Linked DNA regions of Drosophila melanogaster. The protein of the gene in region 3 interacts with the protein of the main gene of each other region in a pairwise test. Each region holds a gene or a part of one and is shown on either strand. Other genes may lie near its edges.

The links.
Region 1: the proteins of wat (region 3) and CG16798 interact in a two-hybrid assay, tested with the Drosophila melanogaster proteins (one large-scale study listed by BioGRID).
Region 2: the proteins of wat (region 3) and cni interact in a two-hybrid assay, tested with the Drosophila melanogaster proteins (one large-scale study listed by BioGRID).
Region 4: the proteins of wat (region 3) and CG11379 interact in a two-hybrid assay, tested with the Drosophila melanogaster proteins (one large-scale study listed by BioGRID).

The regions. Positions count from the first base shown.
Region 1 is NT_033779.5:20,376,444-20,384,249, forward strand, and holds CG16798 (uncharacterized protein), read right to left. Parts: upstream 5,914-7,806; 5' UTR 5,490-5,913; coding exon 5,270-5,489; intron 3,150-5,269; coding exon 2,837-3,149; intron 2,535-2,836; coding exon 2,323-2,534; intron 2,202-2,322; coding exon 1,946-2,201; intron 1,835-1,945; coding exon 1,359-1,834; intron 1,149-1,358; coding exon 940-1,148; 3' UTR 538-939; downstream 1-537.
Region 2 is NT_033779.5:16,308,740-16,312,648, forward strand, and holds cni (cornichon), read right to left. Parts: upstream 1,988-3,909; 5' UTR 1,952-1,987; exon of another isoform or gene 1,902-1,951; 5' UTR 1,852-1,901; coding exon 1,702-1,851; intron 1,641-1,701; coding exon 1,528-1,640; intron 1,405-1,527; coding exon 1,261-1,404; intron 1,192-1,260; coding exon 1,164-1,191; 3' UTR 553-1,163; downstream 1-552. Other genes in the region: Syx5 (syntaxin 5), read left to right, coding at 1-392; fzy (fizzy), read left to right, coding at 2,362-2,673, 2,767-3,088, 3,142-3,909. UniProt on the Drosophila melanogaster protein: Acts as a cargo receptor necessary for the transportation of gurken (grk) to a transitional endoplasmic reticulum (tER) site and promotes its incorporation into coat protein complex II (COPII) vesicles.
Region 3 is NT_033777.3:29,017,356-29,022,282, forward strand, and holds the start of wat (waterproof), read right to left. Parts: upstream 3,052-4,927; 5' UTR 2,668-3,051; intron 1-2,667. UniProt on the Drosophila melanogaster protein: Catalyzes the reduction of saturated fatty acyl-CoA to fatty alcohols. The preferred substrates are C24:0 and C26:0. Necessary for the final stages of tracheal maturation, to facilitate the transition from water-filled to gas-filled tubes.
Region 4 is NC_004354.4:1,178,372-1,182,099, reverse strand, and holds CG11379 (uncharacterized protein), read right to left. Parts: upstream 1,936-3,728; 5' UTR 1,837-1,935; coding exon 1,231-1,836; 3' UTR 549-1,230; downstream 1-548.

The DNA.
Region 1 (7,806 bases), on a different chromosome or scaffold from region 3:
ATCGCCGTCTGACGACCCAACATCTTAGCATAATTTCGTAATTTTGTTTTACGACCAGAAGCCCAGACACATAACACGTTCGTAACCCTTGATGAAGTCGGTTAGAATGTACTTCCGAAATTATAGTCTGATGATGATGATGGCAGTGGGAACCCACTTTCGACTAGCTTCTTGGGCAGAAGTGGGAACTTCGTGGAGGAGTGCATCTATATCGGGAATCGACCTATTGACTGACTTTCATTTCCGCAGAATTTGAGTCAAATGTTTTGGGAAAGATTCGTTAGCGGAGATCATTCTGGGCCATGTATTTTTATGTATCTCGCTAAACTGCTATTTTCTCTTAACTATCCTATTCATTATAACTCAGCAGTGTCTGGTTGGCCTCGCTTTTTATGAGTCCCATTTGAAATTGTAGGTCAGGTTTTCAATTTGAAGTAGCATGTTAGTAATATGCAGTTAATAATCTTTTTGCATTTAGTTAGCTTCTAACACCCCTTCTAATTCAATCCAAACGTAATAAAATAAGCAATAAAATGTAGTAGCTATAATATGTATGTATTCTCGGGGCATAAATAATTTATACAAAATCTTATATCTAGGAGTCTACAGACTAATCTCGCTCTATGAGAAGTGCCATGCCCGCTCGTCCTCCTCGCGATCGCAGTTAAAGCTTGGCCAGAGCCGAAGTCGAGCTTATAATTATGTAAATCGGAGGATGCTTAACCCACTGGTACCGATGGGGCTTGAGTTGGAATCCGTTCAACCAGGGTCCGGATGGGGATGGGGGCGTGGCTATGCGCAGTCATCTTCAGCTAAATGCTGAAGTTTTCTTCCTCTCAAAACTTTGACATTCAGCAAGACAAGTGGGCATAGCTGAGTAGCTGGCGGAGGAAGGCGGAGGACGCGGCGGGACAGTCGGTGGAGCTGGGGCAGGGGCACCTACAAGGTGCACTGGTACTGCTGCTGCTGCAGTGCACGCGGCAACGTTTTGTGCGGCAGGTGGGCGGCCAGGCAGGGGGATGGGCTGCGGGGCGGAGAGCGGATCCGCTGGCGCTGCAGCAGAACGATGCAAATGCTGATGATTATCACAGATAGCGAGACGGTTACCAGCACGCTGCTAAGATGGGAGCCAATATAACGCAGAACGGCTGCACAGGAAGAAAAAAGGATATGGAAAAATCTATAGAAATATTTCAATAATAAAAAAGCAATTATATAGGTCATCAATTCGAGACTTTAATCTAACAAGAAATGTAAAGAATGTTATTCCTATAAATCACAACTAAAATATATTTTTCTAAATTTTCACAAGTTTATGGGCATTTAGGAATCACGATTGTCGCTGACAGGCCACTTACCTTCATTCTCGTCGCTACCACCTGATGGCGAGCCCACCTCCAACGGCATCCAGGAACTGTGGCTCTGGTCGACAACCAGTTTGGCGTACTTGGTGCCCACCACAGGCTCCAAGTGATGTTCCTCCGCCGGCTCATCGGCCAAACTGTTGACCTCGTTGAGGTTCAGAGCTCTGCCCTGACCTCTGGGCTGAGAAGCCTGCTCGGTGGTGGGCGTCGGGGCCTGTTCCACCACCGCAGCCTGTTCCACGGACTCCGAATCGGATTGGGACTCCCGCTGGGAGTCCGGTTCGCGAAGCACCAGCTCCGTCTTGTTGACGTAGCGCATCGGTCGGAGTTCCCTGCCCAGGCGTTGATCCTCGTCTGGCTCAAAGGGGTCGTTGGGCTCGTAGGCGGCGGCCACCCCGTTCTTTCCAGGTACAGTGAAGCTTGCTCGGACCGTCTGCATGCCTGAGTGGTAGCTGCAGACCACCACAAAGCTAGGATTCGAACAGAGGTTTGATAAAAATGATAAACCTCTTTAAAGGTGCCACACTGTACTACATATGTACTACATATTTGTAGAAAATAATAAATAGACTATATGTTACCGTCTTGTGCTGTGGGTAAATATGCCAAGGTTTTCCTGTACCGTGATGAAGGTCTCCACCGTGTTGGTCTCCGGTTTCACCAAGCTTCCACACTCTTTGTGATCGATCCTCATCGTGTACTTGTCCGCCGCATCGCTGGCATCGCCCTTGATCCCACAGTTTCCTCCATCCACGACGATGCGTCCTCCGAAGTACGGACCCGTCTCCACCTCGATCTCTGAGGCATGCGGCAAACACTGGGTGGCATGTGCGGTGACTGGTAAGTTTTGGAAAATATATACGTTTTGAAAAAGTACTACGTACGACGTTTTCAGTGCTTCAGCTTTTTACAAGCGTAAGTTGGTTGTAAACTTAAATAATACTTGGAAACCACTTACAGCCCTTGGTGGGTATGACGATGCTCTGGCCCGCCAGATGTCCGGATCCACTCTCGATCTCGTTGTTTTCATCGTGAAAGTCTGCCCGGGCATTGGAGCTGCGAGTTCCGCCCGCCTGGAGGCGCTTCTGAGCAGCCGGGCGAACGTGGAAACTGTATTTGGTGGCCATGCGCAAGTTGTCCACGGCAGCAACAAAGTGGTGCACCTGGGACCTACAAAGGCATTGAGTAAATGGTCTTAAACGTAACTTAACTTAATCGTATTCAGCTTTGCACTAAAAATTTGATCAACTATTTCCAGTTGAGCGGATGAGCTAGGAGTATAACTCTTTTATTACTTATATATCATTTTATTTAAGATTACGCGAATGTATTTGTATTTCTTTTGAAATATTTGCCTAAAGATATTTTCATTTTCTTCTGTTCGTTAAAGGCAAATCCAATTAAATTTCGAATTTAAAGTGCACCAACATTCTTACGAACTTTTGCATTTCCTAAATGGCAAAACCACTTACCCTGAGGGTTCATGCTTCTCCTGCTGATCCGTCGCCTTCTCATTCTCCTCCTGGGACACCTCGGCGGTGGTGCCATTCACCAATTTGACGCGACACCGCTGTGGGCCGTAGTTCTGCATCTCACAGTAGAATATCTGGAATGCCAGATCCCGGGGCGGTTCCACATCGCCGCTCATATTTGTCGCGTTCACCTGGTCCGCTCTGGAGTTGGAGTTGGGGCTCGAATCTGTGTCATGGGCCGACGGCACGAATTCAACTTCCCAGGTCAGATTCACCGATTTGTAATTTGGTTCACCGGCAACGCCGCGTATCTCTATCGAAGGTTACAAAAGCATGAGCATGGGCAGCAACGGGAAAACGGGGTTATAGCCAAGATTCGTGGCAGTGGCAATGGCAGTTGGTAGTTGGCAGTTGGTAGCTGTTGGTCTTGCATGCAAATCAGCCACCATGGTTAGTTACTTTGCTGCAAGAGCATAGGTTCGGGGCAAGGAACTCGTTTTCCGCCGCCTGAGCTTCAGACACGCTTTTGGATTAGTTCTGTTTCATTCGGTTGGTTTTTTGTGGACCCCACTAAGTGGTTGTTCCCACTGGCAGATCTGCAGAAGAAGATCTGAAGTGTGCTGCCAGTTGGAGTCACCAGCTCTGCACTTCCACTCCAGCTGCGAGTGATGGTGGATCTGGCTCGGAGTGTGACGTGAATTAGCCAAGGGGGGCAGGTAGTTAAGTCGGAATAAGAACTAGACCTGACGACGATGATGATGCTGGATGTTGCGGCTAAAGGGATGGTGCAACTTGGTACTTGGGCTTTAAATGCTACCAAGAACTTTGATTGAACGAGCTATAATGTAGTATTACATTTTCGAATCGCATTGATGCTGCACATTCTAATAAGAACGGAAATTATACCTTAGCATTAAAAGTCAGCAGCAACACAGCATAAAAGCTGAGAAAATAATGCATTTTACAAACTTAGCTTGCAAAAAACGCTTCCTCGAGATTCGTAACAATAAATCCCTGATCAATTATCCATTAATCACAACGTCGAGTCCCGGTAAATTTCCAATTTTCCGTGCCCACTTAGCCCCGATTTCCAGGCGATTTCCCAAGCCCGCCAGCTTGGGGACTTCTTCTGAGCCAGAACCTTGCATAATCTGCAATTAGAAATGCCAGTTGCCGAAGCTAGCTTGTTTGTGTTTGGCCATGTAGTGATGTTGCCAATGTTGCAGTTGTTGCAGCTTCGGGTGGCTGTCTTTACCATGCTTTTCCCATGTTGAAATCATTGACACCGATTTTGTGTGTGTCTGTGCATGGTAGCAGCAGCATTTTTAGGCGAATTTCGCACAGAGAACATGGAAAAGTGAAAAGTCTGCGATGGCACAAATTCTGAAATCGGGGCTACGGCTAGATGCCATTGCTGAGCCAAAATCCAGCAGAAAATTAATAAAAATGCGATGCAGAAATGAAAGACACTTCAATTGCAGCATCGCAATGATTAATGGTGCTTTTCGATCTTGGGAATTCTACTATCTATGACGGTGCACAAATTTTCGGTTAGGCCATATTTTCGTAGGCCGTCACTGCAGTGTTATGCAAGCCAGGAAGTGGAAGTGTCGATGAGACCCGACCAGAGATTCATTAATTTTCCATTGGCCACAGCCAGCGGGAAGTTCTGTAATACAAGATCGTCGGACAAATTGCCTTCAATCATCTGGCCAGATCAATCTTGATCTGTCACCGTATGGCGATGTAATTGCACCGCTTTAGCTAATTCGATTAGAGAGAGAACGGCCGAAACCTGTGTTTTGTGGCCAACAATTACTGGCATTTTGTCCCGGCCTAATGACACTTTTGCTCTCCATTGAAAATCTCTTTGCGATTTCCGCTCTGCGGCTCTGGGCGTGCCAGCCGCCCTCATTTAGCGGCCAAAAGGAAATGTCGACACATTTCCCGCGTGCCCACATGATTGGCACACGGTGCAGAAAAAGCTGGCCGCCGGGCAAGTTCGTTGTCTGAGTCTTTCGTTTGCCACCAAGGGCAGACGTAGGGAAAATACCACAAGGAACATAACTAGGTTCAGGGAAAAAAGCGCTTGATCGTGACCAAGTGCAATTAGCCAACATTCGACAAGAATAGGTAAACAGGAAAATCAACACGCTAAAAAATATTGTGTTCTAGTTAAATCTTAAAAAGGCTATTTGGAAAAATGTTTATGTTTCTATATAACATTGCGCAGCAGATGGAGTTTTCACGTAAGAAATCATATTTCTAATTTGCTTGCTGCTTATGTGCTGCTTACAAGGCAAATGAGAAACTAATATTTAAAGTTATTTTTTTCTGTGCAGCTGACATGCCTGCGACCGCAGACTTTTAGTAGCTGCAACTTTAACTGGCCCTGCGATTGTCTGAATTTATTCCTCGGCTCATAGGACTTACCATATTTGCTACCAGCCTTGGCATTGGCATTGCGGATTGCAGCAGTTGTTGCTGCTGTTGCGGTTGATTCGGTTGATGCGGTCGCTGCTGTTGTTGCTGCTGTTGCATTGTTGCTGCTGCTTTTGGGCAAGCGGACGGGGGAGACCGACGGCAGCAGGAGCAGAAGACACAGCAGCAACATGTTGCAGCTGCCGTGGGCTGCCATTGATTTCGTTGACATTATTTTCGGTAGATTTTTTTAAGTTTGCTGTTTGTTCTCATCAAATGTGTGTCAGCCGGGAGTTATATTGGGCGATTGGTCGTGAGGGAAAATGCAAGTGTTGCCAGGGGACCCAAATGTTTGACTTTAGATACTTTTTTTTTTCCAGTACTCGTTTTGTTTTATTTTATGTTATGCACTATTTGGTACGGCTCTCGCAGAACAATACCAGCTGATTGCCAAAAGCCACTTTTGTCCGCAAATAAATCGCATTTGTCACAACACAAAAAATCATAAATAGTACGAAAGCCGCAGCGTCCGAAGTTTTGGTACCGAATGTTCCGACACAAGAACCGCTCGCGTTAACCTGTGCGGCACAACTGAATCAGCGGGCCAAAGGCAGCCCAACATCTGGCCAATTCGGATCAGCTGTTGGCCATAAACGAAGCCGAAGTCTTAGTTAAAAAGCGAGCCAATGCCAAGGCCGAAAAGCAAAGCTTTCGCCGAAGCTTTCCGCTCTCTAGCGCTCTCTCTCCCATGAGAGATGGAAAATGTGAAAATGGCTTTTCCCTTATCAGCAGCCGCTTATCAGTTGACAAACAGCCAATTTTGCTGCTGTGCTTTCTTTTGTTACCAAAAGGCTACATTTAAAACCCATATATTGGGCCGAGCTTTTTCCATAATTAAACCAGCCGGGTTCCATAAATTTCATCGAACCGAGATCATCACTTTCCCTTTTCTCCGACTTCCAATGCGACTCCCATTGTCTTGTGGCTTTAGTTTGGCGTCTTTGTTGTTGATTTGCCCAGCTGGCGGCTTTGATTAATGCTTAATCAGCAATATTATTGTTATTAGGTTTCTATAGCGGGCCAGGCAGCATTTTCATAAATAATTTGCCAGTTACTTTGTGCCGAGCACAGTCAATTATAAGCTCGAACAAAAAGTTTCTCTGCCACAAAAGATGCTACAAAATAAATGAAAAGTGTACGCAACGAATGGCATAATGAAAATATATAATTAATTATTGGCACTCATTGCATAATTGAGGTCTTTTGATGAAGTGACCAGTGCGCAAACTTTTAAAGCCATCTACTTTTGTCTATCAGGTATTTATAAAAAAAAAAGGGATTGCTCTTTTAAATAATATTATGCCCTGAAGTTAGTTTATGTCTCAGAAAAGTGTCTAAAATGGAAATTTTATATTACTGTTGTGGTTATTTTTACGTAGAACTTCTTTGAAGTATTTTATATTACAGTCATTTGTCCTTCGAAAAAACACACGAGTCAACATCTTTATTAGAAGTAATTTGCTGCTTATCGCTTGAGCTTTAGCTCCATGATAAGGTAAACCATTTTATTGTATATGGCATAATTTCCATCGCTTCCGCTTCGGAAAAGGTTTTAACCCAGTGGCACGCATGGTAATTTCCTGTAATATATGTATGTATATAAGACCTTTTGTCCCTGGCCACCCATTAGTATGATAATTATCATTAATTATAATTAGACAGGTTAATATATGCGATGTGACATAAAGCCAGTACGTCTATTTTTAGGATGTCAAGGCCAGGGTTTCAAGAACAATTTGGTCCTAAATAAAAATTTCCTGGGCACCTGTAACGTCATGCTTCCCTAGGGCGACACGAAGAGGTATTCCAGGAGTATACTTACCGGACATAAATAATAAAACGGAACGCCCCAAAGCCACCAGAATGCCTCGAGTCCGTCACAGGAGTCGGAATCCCTCGACATTCGTGCGCACTTGGCAACACACATTCCACTAATTCCGTTAATTAAAAATTTAATGAGGCTCTGCGATCTAAATATACCACCGACACGAAGCCCAAACAATTGGAACACCTGTTGGCCACGTAAAATCCCTTGACGTGTTTCCCATGGGCAAAGGATTTCACCGAGGCAACAGAAGAGGGATTTTGGGTCTCAAATTGAAATGTGTTTTCCTTAAAATCAGTATATAAATATAAATGGGTATCGGAAAATCGAAAGCGTTTTCCTCACACTTCTCATTTGTTTTTTTTTTTTGTTTTGTTGTCTGCCTGAAAGTAGGCAGCAAAAGTCTTTCCTGCGCAGCGCATAATTGAGTGGCGGCCATCATTGTCGTCGCCACAGTAAACTGATTTGCATACCGCCGCCGAGTCCAAGTCCCGTTCTCGGATCCATTCTGTCATTCGCTTGGCATGGGGCTCATGTCATTAGGACGAGAAGCCAGCGCGTGACACACGCGGCGTATGCGCAACGCCTTTCGTGGCTTGCGGGACAAGAGCTGCCCTTTTGACCTTATTCGGGTATGTTTGCACTTCCTGAAAGGGACATTCTA
Region 2 (3,909 bases), on a different chromosome or scaffold from region 3:
GATCTTTGCTTCTCAGCGAGGAAAACCAAGCGGTCAGCATAGATATGGGGAGCAGCGATACCACACCACTCCTATCAACCCAGACACAGATGGCCATCTACGATGATTCCGATAATTACGTCCAGCAGCGGGCGGAGACCATGCAAAATATAGAATCTACCATCGTTGAGCTCGGCGGAATATTCCAGCAGCTGGCACATATGGTTAAGGAGCAGGAAGAGATCGTGGAGCGTATTGACACGAATGTGGCGGATGCGGAATTGAATATTGAGGCTGCCCATGGGGAGATCTTGAAATACTTTCAATCCGTCTCCAAAAATCGCTGGCTGATGATCAAAATCTTCGGCGTTCTCATATTCTTCTTCTTGTTCTTCGTTGTTTTTATGTCGTAATCAAACGCCAGTTGCCCATTAAAAGCCCCATGTACCTATCCATGTATACAGCTTTTTATTTTAATCAAGATTCAATCACAATATTGTTTATTCCAAGCTGTGGCCTCCCGAAACGATTGTAAAATAAAGTTATAAATACGTTCTAAAGCAAAATACATTTATTTTAGCATGTGGTTCTTTGGTGAATTTTTCCATTCTAATGGAAGCTCTAAAATTAAATATAATTTCCAAAATATAAAGCCGAATGATAAATATGTTTGCTGATGTAAGAAACTTGTATATTACCTTAGAAAACGTGTAATGCAAGTATCAAATTGGAGAGAGACTATATCTATGTTTGCCCTGCTGATAAGGTTTAAGTGCCCTTTCATAATCTTTATTATCTTAAGTGCTCGTTGCTCCATGTTCGTCGTGTTTAGCCAAAAATTCCGCTGTCCCTCATGCTAAACAGAAAAATGAAAATTGGTTACATTGATTTGACTTTTATTTAATGCTTAAAATCCAACTACACCAAAGATGCGATATGCAAAAAATAATCAAAATAAAAACATGTTACAATCTCTTACTGCAGAAAAGTATTACAAATTGTATGAAAAAAACAAAGCTTCAAGATGTCTTTATGGATTTACACTAGAATTTACAAGTGAAGTATTGTTCGCGGTTGATGGGGACTCTTCCCCAAAAAAGGAAGTCCTCTACCCGAGTTTAGACAACTAATACACGACGCTGATGCGTTGGCGCCAACACTGAGATCCCCAGGCAAGAGCTTGCCTATGTCGAGATGAGCGAATAAACCATGCTAAAATTAGCAATTAGAAACGTTAGACAAATGAGGACCCTGGCCACAATGAATCTCAATTAGACTTACCCGTATATGTAGTAGAAGAAGCTAATCAGATAGACGGCCAGTTTAATCCAACCCTCACGCATGTTCCGGTACAAAGTATCGGTTTTCAGGACCGTGGTGGGATCATAAAGTCCGGGTCCCGACATCACAGGGCGGTTTTTGTAACTGAAAGCGATAGGGGTATTACAAAGCATGAGTGCTTAAGGGTGCTTATGTTGGGCTTGGGTGAATCTTGATCTCCTCGGATCTCAAATCACATTATATCACACGGTCAAATGAGTCACTTACCGCCAAATATGATAGGCTATGAGGGGTATGTTGATGCATAGCGAAAACCATTCGCCGCAGAACAAGAAGAGCAAGTTCAGAAAGATGTGCAGAAGGTATTCGGGCAAAACCAGCTGAAATGCAAACACATACATTACAGGGCGCACTGCGGGTGTAAGCAGTAAGTTTACTGACCGGATTGAGGCTATTGCACTGATCAATTGGGTTCTTATAATCCGTTTTAAGTTCGTCGAATGCAATGACATGAAATATGGCGAAAAATATCAAGAATGCATCCCCGATCAGGGCCACTATGTACGTGAAGGCGGTGAAGTTGAAGGCCATCTTGTAAAATCGCTGGAGCACGTCTTCCAGGTGCTAATCAAAGTGACTTGCTAATTATTATCGTAAAATTCGGCTTTGCAATTGTAGCGCTGGGACTCACTTGTTTTTTTTTTACAAGGGCGGCGATGATGACAGCTGTGCGCCAGGGATGCACTAATCTAAACGATCAGGCAGCACAGATGTACGGTCACATTGCAAATGAGGCTAATAAATAATCAGCTATCCATTATAAATCAAATATAATTTCATTTAAAGAAGCAATTTTAATTTCTAACGAATTATAATGTTTTGTATTAATTTTAATTCTCTGGTAATTTTCTCTACGCACAAAAAATACCACTAACAGTTAGCCGATGCGGTCACACTACATTTCCAAATCGAACCGCCATTTGTGTTGCATCTCGAAATCTGGAAAAAATTCGATCCAAGTGTTCTATGAGCTTCTGTTTTTTAATAATAATAAATAAATAAATTCGATAATCAACTGACACCAGAAAAGAGCGGAACACAATGTCGCAGTTCAATTTTGTGAGCGATTTGCAGAATGCTCTCATCATGGACGGCGAGACGCGCGGACCTGCGCCCAGGTGGAAGAAGAAGCTGGAGGCGTCTCTAAATGGAAGTGTGAATACCACTCGGTCGGTGCTATCCGTCTCGTACAACACCAGTTTCTCGGGTGTCCAGGCGCCCACGAAAACTCCGGGCAAGAGCAGCGAGGGCAAGACCAAGAAGTCCAACACCACGCCCTCTAAGACGCCAGGAGGCGGAGATCGCTTTATTCCGAATCGGGCGGCTACCAACTTTGAGTTAGCACACTTTCTGGTAAGGATTCCACTCATCCCTCCATCCCGCCCTGTAAGGGCATCCTTATTCCAGACCCCTTAAGAATTTATTGACCACCTGACCATCTATTAGGTGAACAAAGACTCCGGCGATAAGTCCGATGAGGAGAACGACAAGGCCACCTCGAGCAACAGCAACGAGAGCAATGTCCAGGCTTCGGCTCACAAGGGCGACCGGCAGAAACTCATCTCTGAAGTGGCCCAGGTCGGTGACTCCAAGGGCGGGCGCATTTTGTGCTACCAAAACAAGGCTCCCGCTGCTCCAGAAACACACAACAATCCCCTGAAGGTCGTGTACTCCATTAAGACACCCATATCCACAAAGAGTGGCTCACGCTATATACCCACCACATCCGAGAGGATTCTGGATGCACCTGATTTTATTAACGATTACTGTAGGTCGAAGAAAACTTTTCTTTTCTTTTTTTCTACTATTGATCTCTTCCAGATTTAAATCTTATGGATTGGAGTGCCGACAATATAGTGGCTGTGGCCTTGGGCAGTTGCGTCTATTTGTGGAACGCACAGACCGGAAATATCGAGCAGCTTACGGAGTTTGAGGAGGGCGACTACGCAGGCTCGCTATCGTGGATCCAGGAGGGGCAGATACTTGCCATCGGCAACAGCACCGGTGCCGTGGAGCTGTGGGACTGCTCCAAAGTGAAGCGTCTGCGAGTGATGGATGGACACAGTGCCCGAGTGGGATCCTTGGCCTGGAACTCATTCCTGGTTTCCTCTGGCAGCCGGGATGGCACCATTGTCCACCACGATGTGCGTGCACGTGAGCACAAGCTTTCCACATTGTCCGGACACACGCAGGAGGTTTGCGGCCTAAAGTGGTCCACGGATTTCAAGTATTTGGCTAGCGGAGGCAACGACAATCTGGTGAATGTTTGGTCGGCGGCCAGCGGTGGCGTGGGAACTGCCACCGATCCCTTGCACAAATTCAACGACCATCAAGCTGCAGTGCGTGCCTTGGCCTGGTGTCCCTGGCAACCAAGTACTCTAGCCTCTGGAGGCGGCACCGCCGATCGCTGCATCAAGTTCTGGAATGTGAACAATGGCACTTTAATGAAATCCGTGGACTCCAAGTCGCAGGTCTGTTCTCTGCTCTTTTCTCGCCACTACAAGGAGCTGATCTCTGCGCATGGTTTTGCTAACAACCAACTGACCATTTGGAAATACCCAACAATGGTGAAGCAAGCCGATTTGACTG
Region 3 (4,927 bases):
GATACCGGAGGCACAGATGCAGATACAATGCAAACATTACTCAGCCGCATTGCTCGGCTACTAAACAATTTAAATGAAGATGTTCCCAATTGGATTCATGGTCAGGCGGCCGATGAGTTATTTATGCATACTTAAACACGCCTGGAAAATGCAAGGCGAAGAGCGCCTTCGGATATCTTGGCCATTTGGACACTTGGCCGTTTGGCTGTTTGGCTGCTAATTCGCAGCAGAAGCAATATTCGCACATTTATCGATTGCAAATCAATTTCGTGCAATTGCACATCTCACGTAATGTCGGCCCCTCTTGGCCAGGTCGAAACGCAGTGGCTCTGGCTCTGGATTTGGCTTTGGACTTCGATTTGGATTCGGAATCGGCTTGGGCTTGGGCTTTAACTGGCTGCAATGCATCGCTGCCGGATTACCCCTCGATTAATGCTGCTTGCATACAAATTGGCGCATTTACGTTCGCCTTCACCTGCTATATGGGAATCTCGGGGGGTCTTCCCTATCCACAAGATACAGATACAGATACAGATACAGATACAGATACAGATAGAGGTGCAGATACAGATATAGATACAGACACGCGCCTGCACTCGTTAGCCAGAAGCCTGAAGCCTGAGGCGTTTGCCTTCCTTTTGGCATTCGGCAGGCAGTTGGCCAAATTGCATAAACAAAATCGCGCAGCGAAATGAAAAGTGCGCCAAGTGCGAAATATAAATTACACCGCGAGCATTCGCATGCAAATTCCGATTCGGATTTCAATTCGAAAACATTGTCGCACGTTGAAAGTGGTAAGTGGCAAGTGGCAAGTGTCTTTCGGTGCAATCCTAATCAGCATGACTGGCCCAGTGCCAGTCACACTGCAAATCCCATCGCATCCCATCCCAGTTATCCCATTCCATTCCCTGGGTGCTGGATAGAAATGGCAACGAGGCGAGGTGACAACATAAGCAGACTTTTCGCGGGATTTGTCAAATATTTGCGCAACGCTGCGCTTATCCATCCAAAAAAAAGAAAAGCACTAAATCTCTGGAAAGGGAGATCCAAAACTGCAGCACCGAGTCCCAAAAACCCAGGAACCCAAAAAAAAACCCCCTACCCCGCTTGCCCACTTTTTTGTGTGCGCTTTCACGCCTCTTGGAAGGCGGGCAAACTTTTATTATTATTTCATTTTTTTTATGTTCGCCGCGCCTCGCAAGTTCAAAAAGTTTAATGCTATTTGACTTTGATTCAATGTTTGCATTGTGCCCGGGCACATCATCGATTATTTTCCACTTGACGCCCCACCACGTCAGCCCACTGAACATGGAACATGGAACACCAGAGCCACCAGAGCCATCCGCCCACGGATCCCGAAGCGAACTCCCAACGAATCCCCATCCGCATCCGAACTGGAATACCAGTTGTTTGTGGTGGACAAATGAAATATGTTTGGCCGCATCAAAAAGCCCTGGCACTGAAAATTGATAAATTGCGAATTAATTGAATCGCTATGACATGAAGTTTAGCACTATTTTCTCGTCTCGCCTCAATTAAAGAGTTGGCTGGGTTTTTCCTGCACAGATACTTAGATACTTTAATTGCATCCTTGAGGCCCATTTAATTGTGGCACACAAATCGATTTTTTAAACTCTGTTTCATTTCAGCACGATATGATGATATTCTCATGCATATTTCATTGAATGCATTTCATTGCCATTTAAATTTGGCCAACGAAAGTATTTGTTGTATAAAGGGCTTGGGGGCGTCCACTCTTTAAATTCTTTATGAACTTTAATTTCCAAATTACATCGCTTAATTGAGTTCGGATTTTAAATGGCTTGTAAAGCTGAGGCAAATTGCACATTTCTGCGCAGCTGAAATATGATTTACGTAATATAATAATATTTAATGCAACACATTTTTATTGCGACATTTCACTGAAATGCGTATCTTCTAAATATTTAAAATCCTCTTCTGGCCTTTTAGTCTCTTTTACAAAAGGTATGTATATTTTTGTATATTTTTGAGCATCAAGTAATTTCTTTTATAGCCAGCACAGAACAATTAGTCACGGATTTGTAAAACCAAATGTCACAGATAATATTATTTATTCTGCCAAATTAGTGAGCTGCTAAGTGGGAATTTAAATATTGATCGAACTGCTCTTGATCCAGTAATGAATGTTTTTCCCAATCTAATCAATTATTTTTTGGGTTTGGCCATATATAAAATACGAATGAATGCAAACTTGTTTGAAATACACAAAGACCACGGGAGTAATATAATAATCCAACTGGCGATTATCGATTCTTTGGCAGCCGTAACTCTTTTGCCATTGCAATGGCAAAACAATGAGTTATTTCCCAATTGCCGAGTGGGTTTGTTTGTGTATTAAATTTGGGAAATTCAATGAAATTTCACACATTTTTTCGTGAATGCCTGTGTGCTGGCAATTGGCTATGAGCTCTTCGTCGGCCCCTCCTGCACCTGCGGAGCGAATCCAACCCGTTTTGGGTATTTGGGTATATGGGTATTTTTTTTAGAAAGCCATCAACGCCAGCTACATTACCACCACCACTACCTACAGTGCCTAGCATATACGTAATGGCATATGTCATACGATTACCAGGTATACGGATAGCAGAGCAGATTGTCTATAATCCCATGTAATTCAAGACTCACCGATTTGCTGGCTGCACAGGCACAGATCCCACGGCCACGGATTGGATTGGAGTGGCTTTCCGCAAATTGCTGGCTAATTGGAGGGCTCGTGGATCTGCCAAAACGAATCTTGCTCGCTGGCATACAGGGATATATCTCTTGGTTTTCTATCTTTTTCAGTTGCCACTTTCGAAATATATAAAAATTCTCTAACCAAACGCGCTTTACAACTGCAGCACGCGCTGTTGCACAAGAGTAGCGAAAAGAGCGATGCCAAATTGGTTGCAACAGGTGGAAAAACTGGGAGCGCACCGCGATCCGAACCGAATCGGTTTTGTATATCCAGCGAATTGAGTCCCGAGTTTGAAAACTAACTTTTGAAGTCGATGCGAGCGTTACGCGTTCCAGAACCGCGCTGCCAGGCAGACGAAAACAGACTCAGCTCGATTGAGGCTCGCAAAAACCACAACACCTGACGGCGGCTTCTCAGTCCGTGGATCGGCGCCGTTCAGCGGCTCGATGGTGGTGCGCTTGGCATCTCAGCGGCTCAGCGGTTTGGTGGCTCAGCGGCTCAGCGCCTCAGCGACGGTGGCGTCGACTGCGACGGCGACTGCGGCGTTTTGTGGGCGGTAAGCCAAACTTAAAAAAAAAATCAAGTCAAATTGAGTGGCGCAGTTTGGACTGGCGATTGAAGTGTACACATGTACATAGTCGTACTAACTTGCCGCACCTGAGCATCGCTTTCGGACACTGCCAGTGTTATGATCCAATTTTATGGAGCCTCGTAAAGCCGAAGCATTTGAGATATATTTGCGGTATATGTACATCGGACTTCACTTAAGCGCTGGTCACTTGGGTTAAAATAGCGCCGGTTACTTAGCTTACAGCTTGCCATTCATCCTATTAAATGGAGCATTTTGAAGGTTCCAAAGCATCTTTAATAAACAATTAACAAAACGTGCTGGTAATCAAAGATTACGCCAGTATCTTTTACAATTGCCTTATTCAGTTGAGTTTCAAAATTGAATATTCCCATACCCAATGTATACTAGTAGTTATCATTCCAACGAAGATGACGAATACTCAAAATATTAGCAAAGATTTCGAGATGAACTGTAAATATTACTCATACGCAGCGTGTACATATATCATATATTATGAGGCTCCATATAATTGAATACATAGCGATTGAATTTTCGGATTATCATTATGATTGTTAAGAAGTGCAAAATGATTAACCGAAAATGTATTGGATTACTTTGCATTATATGTATGTTCTTTTATCTTGTATAAAAAATTCCGTTGTTAATTAAGTGATGATAGCATATGATTATCATGCTGACCCCAAGTTGTGTCTGGTAAATAAAGTGATTACTAGATGAGATCTCTGAAACCGTGCTGGCTAATTAAAGACATTCGGCGAACCTGGACCCTGTCTTTATAGTTTGATCTGTCTGACAGGGCTGAACCCACACGGACCTCCGGCTCAGCTGACTCATCCTCGAGTGCAGTGCACATCCGCTCCATCCCTATACGAATCCCAATCGAAAACCCAGCCCAATTGGTATTCCTGCTCCGTTCGCCCGGAGACGTCGTTCGACGTAGTTCGCTCATAAATTTTGCATTTGCTGTGTGATTTTCCTTTTTAGACGCGACAAGATTTCACTGATTTCGCATATATCCCAGCATTTATAATATATTCGCCTGGGCCGAGTATTCTAAGTCGAGTTCAGTACTGTTCAGCTGTTCGGCTGGTAATCGCAGTGCCGCCATCAATCACGTAGTTCCCAGCATGTTTTGTCGCCGATCCCATCTGTATCTGTATCTTGACGCAGTATCTTCTCACACCAGAGCCAAGCTCAAAGAGTCTATAAACTCGAATATCTCTCGCACAAACGCTGTACGAAAACGAAACAAAAGGCCCATTAATGACAAATGCGAAATAACGAAATTAAAATAATAATATTCGCGATCAAGACACTGCATATTAATGGTGGCCCCATCAAAAGACACTCAAGTGCACACTTTTCAGGTATGATCCGATCTTGTTCAGCTCTGTTCAAACACTTGACAATGACATGATTCGCTTTTGATGTATAATTACTTCACTTTCGAGGTACAACGGCCTGCAGATTGTTTGATGCCTTTATTTATGCTGTGTAATTGCTTTGAAATGCCTCTTTACTTATGCAGATTTCGGGGCTCCATTATATAAAAAGTTACGATTTGTAGGCGGACAGTTTGCAATGAGCAAATAGGGCAACATTTACCCAGACAACTG
Region 4 (3,728 bases), on a different chromosome or scaffold from region 3:
ACACGTAGCGAATAAGAGAAAAGTTAAGGGATCGTGTTCATGAAAAATATTTGCGATAATATATTTTACTTGTTAACCCAAAGGATATTATAAAATAACATTTTGCTGCTTATACCCGAAGCTGATTTTCAGGACGCGAAGTGCATCCGAAATGGAAAAATTGTATCGTAAGCTGCACTTGTAACTGAACTATATCTGCTATAGCAGCTTAGTTAATTCTGCAACACGAAGGTCAGATATTTTGGAACACCTTTCGATTTTATTATAAGCACAGAAAAAAAAAGTATGCGTATTTCACCTCGCTGAATTTTCTCTGCGATTTGAGTTTGAATGCTGCCTGGGAGCGTGGAAAACACTTGCACTTTTCCTGGCGAGCGACGCGCTTTGATTAACACGGCTGCATTGCCAGCCAGGCTTTTATATCGCTCGACGACCCGACCAATTTCCCGCAATTGGCAACAGGCTGCGGCTGCAGTTTTAACCAGTGCGAAACACGACAGCGCGCCAGCAAGCAACAGCATTTGGCTGGCACTGCCTTGGAAGCATTTCAGCGGCATTGTTGCGTGTGCCAGGCTCTTGCATGTCGCTAGTTGCAAGTTGCAAGTTGCTAGTTGCCAGTTGCTATTTGCTAGTTGCCAGTTGCTGTTTGCCGTCGTGGTGTCCATCGCTTTTGGCTACGCTTCAAGTTCAAGTTTACAGCCATCGATCGCGCATCAGAGTAATGGTTTCGTTTTCGCTTTCGATCGACTTGCTTTGCTTTACTTTGAGCCGCTGGGTTCCGTCTTCCGAATCCGAAACCGAAACCGAATCGGTTGTTTGGGGGCGTGTCGCTTTTGGATCTCGGATCGGTCCTCTTCCGCATTGCATATGGGTACGGCTACGGCTAACGAGTTTACAAGTCTTTTTCGGGGGGATGACAGCCCCCAGTGGTTGGCAGTTTGGCCGGTAGTTGTCCGCTTCAAATTGGCTTCATGGATTCGGTCAGAAAGTGGTCTTGCGATTTAATATATGTTCGATTTTTGAGTTTATTTTTTTCTTAAAGAAGCTAAAAGAAACTACGCTTTGAATCGAAATTTACTATTATGGTTATTCATAATTCAATTTATGATGCAGCCCGTTGTGTCCCACTGTGCCTATTAAAACGCTTTTAGTATAATTTGAACCATAAATTTAGCTATTGACTGAGGTAGTGTGATATGGCTGTGGAAGTGGAATGGTCACCCCTCCGTCTCAATTGGCAAAGCTCTGTGCGCTTCCCTGGGATTGGGTCTGCATTGGAGTGCCGGGCTCGAGACTTCCGAAGATCAGCGCGGAGCAGCGGCGATGAAGGGTGCGACGCCAGTCGAGCATCCCGCAGCGGAGCTTCTGGGGCAACGCGGTGGCCCATAGGGAAAGCCACAGAAGACATGCGCCGATCAGGCCGGTAGTCAGGCCCAAAGTCCAGTACTCGCAGACCAGGAAGGTTTGCTCCTCGACGGCCAAGGCCTGGAGTATGCCCACAATGGCGCACTGGCAGAGGGACTCTATGCGATGCCACAGTTTGCTAAGGGTCAGATCCAGCACCAAACAGCAGACGCCTGTCTCCAGTAAGAGCGATGCCCAGGACGACTCATTGCCGCGAAGGTTTCGATTCCCATTCCTGAACCGCTGATCGGCGGGCAGGGCACTTGAAAACATCCTCACCCCGTGAAGAAGGGTCACCACGCAGGCGGAAAAGAGCCAGGCGCCCAAGAGAGGAGCAGCGGAGCCGGGAGATTCGCGAAAGTAGTAGTAGTACGAGATGCCCAGTACCGAGTGAAGCAACACCGCCATGATCAAGGCCATTAGTCGAGCCATCTCCAGATGTCCTCCTAGGTGTACACTTCCAGTTTTACGGGAGTAAATTCGGGTCAGAAAGCCTTAAACTGAATTATTCAACTGACTTTTAAAGCAGCAGTCACTACTTGGTTAACTCCGAACACTTGTGTACAAGTATTCCTTGTTATTTTAAGAAGTGATACAAAAAGCAAGTTGTAAACTCTGTTAAAGTTTTTAAAGGCAATATTTAATATATTCGATGTTATCTTTTCAATTTATAATTTATATATTATGATTTATACAGCATTCTTGCGTGGCAGAATACCCCATCGGTAATGGCATAGGTTTCCTCTTTGTGTAATCACAGTCACTGTCTGCGTCACAGTTGAAGTCACAGACACCGCGCCAATTGCAATTATCACCACAAGTCAAACAGGCTCAGATGTCAAGGCCTTGTTTTCCTCATTTTCAGTGGGCTCATTACGTGAGGCAAGTGGAAATGGGAAATGTGCTCGATAGTAGTCAGCTTACTTTCATTTTTGTTTCGGCCAAAGCTTTGCGGCTCCAACTTTTGGACTTTAAAGCTTGAGCATGATCATGGAGAAACTCATAGATAAGCTCTTCCAGATCTTTATATGTACAATAATATATATGTACGTCTGGTAAACCAAGATGATTTATAAAATGATTAGGCTGGTTGGCATGGAATAAAATTTCTTGCATGCACTTGCTCCGCACTGTTCTCTGCCGACATGACGTCCCAATCCTGGTGATGCTGCTCCGCTTGCTCTGTCAGCAAGTCATAAATCTTCGGCTTCAACTGAACTTGATACATCAAAATGTTGGTCAAATTAAATTTCTTGCGCCTCGTCCTTTCCCGCACAGCTCGCCCCCGCCCCGCCCGCTGCTCCTTGATTCTCCCAGGGATTTCACTAGGAGCAGCTGCCAAGTAATTCGTCAAGCTGCTTTGTCCTCCTCCAGCGGCTGTTCTTATCTCATCTCTGGGTGAGCATTGTTGCTCCGCTCCTCTGTGCTGTGCTGTGCTGTTCTGTACTGTTCATCTGTCTGACTCCACCACCTACCAATCTACCTACCGACCTACCACCCCCATCCCTGTATCCCTGTATCGCCCCGTTTTGGCTGGCTTTCATGTCAACTGCATTTTTCTTTTGCTGTGTTGCTTGTTGTGTGCTGTGCGCTTTTTCACTGCTTTAAACCACTTAATGGGTTTTTTTTATGTGGACCTGGGTTAGATGGAAAAGCGCAAGGAGTGGGAGGCGGCCTGGCGGTGCCTCGGGGCTATTCATGCTGCAGCTTTCTTGTAGCTTCATTCACAAAGACTTGCAATTCATCAAATCTCGTTAGCCTCGGCTTTTATAGAAAATCTGCAGCTGCTTTTGCTTCTGCTTTTCTTTTCGGGGTTTCGGGGGGCTGTGCTCCTCTCATTCATCTGCCACGCCCACGGACACGGAGTGGGCGTGGCCGAAGCTTCAGCACCGATTCGAATCCCCGTCCGCATCCGCTTTACCATTTCCAAACGGCATCCTATCCTCTGGGATCCTCTGTCATTATTGACTGGCAACGACTTTAAGGCAACTTTTGTTCCGCTCCCATGCGCTTAACTTTAAGGGCTTTACCTTCTCCACCTGAGCTGAGCTCCGATCCATGCTTCTTCCTTTGAGCTAATGAAAAGTGTGTGTCTCCCAAAATGGAGTGGAATCCTTGCAGCTGCAGCTTGCATCATCAGGCTCTCCCAGCGAATAGCTCGTCTAAATAAAAGTAAACCAAAGCTCTGCCAAGGAGCAACAATAAACGAGTTGGCCAATGCATTTTTAATGCAACCAACCACCCAACCACCTGTACAAATCCGTTAGGGAGGAATGGGGATGCTCTCGAGGTTCTCTAGGTAGCCTCAAAAATGTTTCCAGAAT